2 linked regions of the Kluyveromyces lactis genome follow. The protein of the gene in region 1 interacts with the protein of each later gene in a biochemical or structural test. Links are inferred from orthologs where the notes say so. Each region holds a gene or a part of one and is shown in the gene's direction. Other genes may lie near its edges.

Region 1 (3,035 bases):
GAATCTGTCTCGATGGCTCGAATTTGGATGGAGAATGTCTATCAAAGGAAGAGAATTCCACAGGGGTTAGTTGTGGTGATTGTGTTGCTCTAAGCTGCTCTACTTCTTGTCTAGACGTAGATAGCTCCTGCTGAGCGGACAGCAATTGTACAGTTTTATCATTGAGTTGAGATTTCATGATGTTTATCTGTTCTTCAAGCTCTTCTATGGAGCTTTCTTGATCTATGTTGACAAACTTCAATTGCTTTACTTGATCTTTTAGCTTTGAAACTTCTTCCTTGAGGTTTATTACTTCATCTTGGCTTTTCTGTTCTTGTATCGTCGAAAGGAAATCTTTCTCTTTATCATCATTCCCGCCAAACAATTCTTCAACTTCATCTGTACTTTTTGCCTCTATTGGTTCTTCCTCTTTTTGTTGAACTGCAAAAGCTTCTTTAGACACTTCCTCGGTTGGGTTGGGTATATCAGTTGCTTCCTTCTCGAGGACTTCCTCCTCGGAGTCTTTCTTGTTCTCCGCAGACTCTTTTTCAGACTTCTCCACAGACTCCTTTTCAAACTTCTCTTCGTTGTTGTCATTGCCCTTTGCATCAGCATTTATCTCAGCCTTTTCTTCAGCTTTTGTCTCTTCCACGATTGGTTGTTCATCTGAATGAACCGGACTCTCTGATACATTAGTATCAGTCGGTTCCAATTCAGTTTCAGTTTCAGTTTTGACTTCAGCTGCTTCAAGATCTTCCTTGTCCTTCTTCTTCTTATTCTTCTTGTTTTTATTCTTCTTCTTTAACTCTTCAACCCTTATCTTGGCTTCTTCGAGCTTTCTGGCTCTTTCTTCCTCGGGGGATAGTTCAGACATAATCAACTGTTCGAATGTGTGTACTCACTTGCATTGAAGACGCCAATTGGTTTTAATATTTAGCTCGCAATTGTTTCAGATTTGGCATTCACCATGTAAATTCTTATTTCATATGGGGCAACTTTTTTTTTTGATCTAAACGTGTCGTTATGGTTCACACATATTTAATAAGAAAGGAATCACCATCATTGAGGCAAACATCGATCAAATAATATCGTTTAATTTCACAATGTTTCAAAGCCATTTAGGTTCGAAAGAGAACAAGATTCAAGACTTTTTGAGAAGCAAACTCAAAGTATTTGTACCATGTTCTTTATTATTCGGTATGCGATTGGTAAATATCAAATTATTATCACCACCGTATATAGTGACGTGTTCTTTAAAAGAACGTAGAAGAAGTCTTCAGCAAGATATTTAGCATTTGTTGTCACTTTTAGTGGCGACATGCGTAGATAAACAGAAGTTTTACAACTAAGACGCCCTCTTATTTCAACTGTAGGAATAACAATCAGTAAGTGTGTAAACCTGAGACCAAGTAAAGCGGAAAAGTACAATGGATTTAACAGTTGAACCAGATCTAAACTCTTTGATAACTTCCTCAACACACAGATGGATATTTGTCGGTGGTAAGGGTGGTGTCGGTAAGACGACGTCATCTTGTTCGATTGCCATTCAAATGGCTTTGGCACAACCAGAGAAACAATATCTATTGATTTCTACAGATCCTGCACACAATTTAAGCGACGCCTTCGGTGAGAAGTTTGGTAAAGATGCAAGAAAAGTCACTGGGATGAACAACTTGTCATGTATGGAGATTGACCCTTCTGCCGCTTTGAAGGATATGAATGATATGGCTGTTGCCAATAATGCAACTGGATCGGGAGAGTTCAGTGATCTTTTGCAAGGTGGTGCACTATCTGAATTGACAGGATCGATTCCAGGTATTGATGAGGCACTTTCTTTCATGGAAGTGATGAAACACATCAAAAACCAAGAACAGGGTGAAGGTGACAGGTATGATACCGTTATTTTTGATACCGCACCAACAGGTCACACTCTAAGGTTTTTACAGTTACCAAGCACTCTATCTAAACTCTTGGAGAAATTCGGAGAAATCACTGCAAGATTGGGACCAATGTTGAATTCTTTGGCTGGTGCCAATAACGTCGATCTTGTTGGTAAAATGAGTGAATTGAAGTCTAATGTGGAAAAAATCAAGGAACAATTCACCAATCCTGATATGACAACTTTTGTCTGTGTTTGTATCAGTGAGTTCTTGTCTTTGTACGAAACTGAAAGATTGGTACAGGAATTGATCTCATACGATATGGACGTGAACTCCATCATTGTAAACCAGTTATTATTTGCTGAGTATGACGAAGGAGACAGCTGTAAAAGGTGCCAATCCAGATGGAAGATGCAAAAGAAGTATTTGGACCAAATTGATGAATTGTACGAAGATTTCCATATCGTTAAGATGCCATTGTGTGCAGGTGAAATTAGAGGTTTAAACAACTTGAAAAAATTCTCCCAATTCTTGAGAAAACCATACGATCCAGTTGCAGACAGCAAAGTGATTTATGAATTGGAACAACAAGACTGAAAGGAAGATAAATATGAATCATTGATACCTAGCATTACACGGCCAATCTATAATTTTTTATTATTTGTACACTAAATAATTGCAGAGCAGATTCTAAATTGAATCATTGCATCGAATTAGCCTCTATAATGTAGCATTAAACATCTACTTTAGTTGCAACATGAAAACATTATTACTTCAGGCTTCGTGATAGTAAACGAAAAGATCCGAAAGCTAAAAAAATTTTGGTAAATTGAAATGCTCCAGGGGAGGTTCGAACTCTCGACCTTCAGATTATGAGACTGACGCTCTTCCGACTGAGCTACTGAAGCAAATTTCTTGGAAAACTGAATTTTTAAAGAGTTTCATGCACTTGGGATTTGATGTACCATTGAGTCGCAGGGAATTAACTTCAAATCACTTATAAAACTCGCAACTCATTTATAACTTGAGGCATATAGAGTATGTCATATCTATTTAAGTCTCGTATTCATGATATCGGCCTCTCTTTGTGCTTTTAGTAACCATCGTTCAATCAAGGTGTCATATTCTGCTTGAATGTGTGTCAACCTTTCCTGTAAAAGATTGTTTTCTATGTTG
Region 2 (2,625 bases), on another chromosome or scaffold:
TTCTAAAATATAAGTAATATCCCGCTCAGCAGGTTTGTGTGTATGCAACAGAGCAAAGCGTATGTAAGCTTATTATCTGATGCTATGCTTCGTGCCCTTTATAGGTTGATTAGACCACATCAACAGAATCCTTTCAAGCAAATCAGTCATGTGGTGGTTATTAAAGTGTCATTCTTTGCTTTGTTTCCTTTGCATGTTTCCTTAAAGGTTTCAACGCCGTCAACAGTGATTGGGCATCGGTGTTACAACATCAAGCTGGTTAAAGAAGGACGATAAGGGTGTCACAATGGGTTAGTAAGGGTTCATTTATGGCTGTGCATGGTTTAATCCATGCTGGGCTATCTATACATACCGATAGATATGAGCTTTCTCGGGGCGGAATGATCTTTATGCCCTTCAATCTGAACGATTCCGATCGATTGATTTCCGAGACATAGTCTTCAACTGATTGCAACGGGTTAACGAACAGGTATGGCTCGATGATACTCCATAAGTTCAGTGTCAAGAGGTCCAATATGACGTTGACAAAATTTCTTCTGGTTATTGGGTTGTATGCAGCCTCTAAGAGTGAATTGATTCGAGTTACAATTTCAGTCCATTCCGCTTGATCCAAATAGTTTGATAATGGGCTCACTGACGTTTCGCCATACCATTGGCCTTCAAACTCTCCTGCCGGAACGAACTCCTTGTTGTGAGTATCTGGTAAGGCTGCTGGTTCAGACCCAGGTAACTGTGTGCTGAAATTAGGAAATTCTGTGGATGACTCAAACCTTCTGGGAATTCGAACGACTCTAGTGGTTCTAAATTCATCGCTTTCTTCAGGTACGTATATGTTTGGAAAATGGGTGATGCAGATTGGATTCTCAGGTCCATGCTCTTCGCATGATTCCTCATCTAGTGCTCTGTACTTTGTAATCACAAATTCATGGTAATTGAAGAATTTCGGTTGTTGTGCAGAAGTTGATTCTTCAACGGTAATCGCAGCTTTAGATAGATCTGAACTGTCTGCAGTATCTGCCAGTACCAGTGATACCATTTGTGTTGCAATGTTACCTGGTAGAATGCCGTTTCTACCTCTTATTTCCCGTATTGATCTGATATCGTTCGTGTTTTTACCCTTTTATGTAGGAATTGAAATAAATTTAACGGAATTGATATTTATGTTCAGATTAACACTAACACAAGTTAGACATCTAATGAAGAGATGTATAAGGGAGTATAAGGAACTAAACTACTACAATATCGCACATCCCACCTCCAATCATGTCTGAACTTGATTTCGTTGGTAAATTTTTGAGTTTGGCCGCTTTGAATGAGCCAAAACTTGCATCGAACTACCGCAAACCATTACATGAAGTTACAAACCTTGGTGTTTCGTTGCCCCCATTGAGGTACAAATATGATCCAAGTAAATCACATTCTAAGAGTATCTCTAAAGTTGTAGAAGTTACCATCAAATCGATCAAAGCGCCTAAATTTGTTCATTCCAAAAGCTTCGAATCTACCGATACCGTGGGTCAGATCAAGGAATTCTTAGTGGAAACCGAGCCTGAGATATATACAACTGGTCAAATCAAGTTGTTGTTAAAGGGTAAAGTCCTCCACGACACTCAATTGGTCTCCGATTTGAACCAGGATAAAATATCCCTTGTCGCAATGGTTTCCAAAGCAGAGAAACCTGTGGAAACAGCACCTTTGCCGAAACCAGCGCAGGAACCTGAACCTGAACTTGAGTTGATGGATGTCGATATGGAGGATCCACAGTTGGATCTTTCATCTCAAACAGATATTGATTTGCCTTGGGATAAAATTAGAACCGTTTTAGAGAGTAGCTTGGATGCTAGCACGGCCTCAGTGGCCCTTGGAAGGCTACAGAAAGGTTGGGAGTTGAGTAAGTAAAAGATAGAACATGTCATTTGTTGGTCCATAATGCAAAACAACCCGGTTATATATGTAGTGATTTTATACTTTTAGATATTTCTGCTCTTTCTTCCATTGGTGATGAGAGAATTACCTCTTTCTGCTCAATCTACGTACTCTTTCTTTGATGTTATTATTCCAATTTACCCCATTTAAACCCTTCTTGAATCCGTATCCTTCGTTAGAAAAGGTTTCATTGATCAGTTCCTGTGCCAATTTGGAGTCTCTCTTATTATTGGAGTTGGTGGTTTCATTCTTCATTACATCTTGGAAGTTCTTGTATTTGGCTCTTTGAGAGATAACGTACTTCTTACATCGTTCGATTTCCTCTTGATTGAGTGCATTGAATCTCAATCTCCTCTTGAAGATGGCTTTGTCTATAATATCGTTGGGGTTTATCAACCGTCTAGGGTATGTTTGAATAGCTTGGAATAATTCCATGTCTTCATCGTCTGAGTTTCGGCTGCTAACGTGATTTAATTTTGGTAAATTGGTCTCGCTTAGTTCGATGATCGCTAACGACATCTTGAAAAGAATGTGTGAACCCTCATAGAAGAGACAATCCCATATACGTAAGGTAGCTTCAATAGGTACTACTCCTATGAAACAGCTCATGAACCAACTGGCAGTACAGAGTGTGACTGGTGGCAACTTATAGAGAAATTCGTTCTTATTGGATAGGCCGGGACTGTGTTGTTGATCTTT

Evidence for each region.
Region 2: the proteins of GET3 (region 1) and MDY2 form a complex in vitro, tested with the Saccharomyces cerevisiae proteins (2 studies listed by BioGRID). The link is inferred for Kluyveromyces lactis from reciprocal best matches to the Saccharomyces cerevisiae genes GET3 and MDY2.

Annotation. Positions count from the first base shown.
Region 1 is NC_006041.1:143,361-146,395, forward strand, and holds GET3 (guanine nucleotide exchange factor GET3), read left to right. Parts: upstream 1-1,406; coding exon 1,407-2,456; downstream 2,457-3,035. Other genes in the region: BUG1 (Bug1p), read right to left, coding at 1-853; ATG16 (Atg16p), read right to left, coding at 2,909-3,035. UniProt on the Saccharomyces cerevisiae protein: ATPase required for the post-translational delivery of tail-anchored (TA) proteins to the endoplasmic reticulum. Recognizes and selectively binds the transmembrane domain of TA proteins in the cytosol.
Region 2 is NC_006037.1:674,443-677,067, reverse strand, and holds MDY2 (Mdy2p), read left to right. Parts: upstream 1-1,263; coding exon 1,264-1,899; downstream 1,900-2,625. Other genes in the region: TGL4 (triacylglycerol lipase), read right to left, coding at 1-1; SHR5 (Shr5p), read right to left, coding at 260-1,036; Rab GTPase-activating protein MSB3, read right to left, coding at 2,011-2,625. UniProt on the Saccharomyces cerevisiae protein: Required for efficient mating. Involved in the production of alpha-factor, the KAR9 and TUB1 location to the shmoo tip and nuclear migration into pheromone-induced shmoos.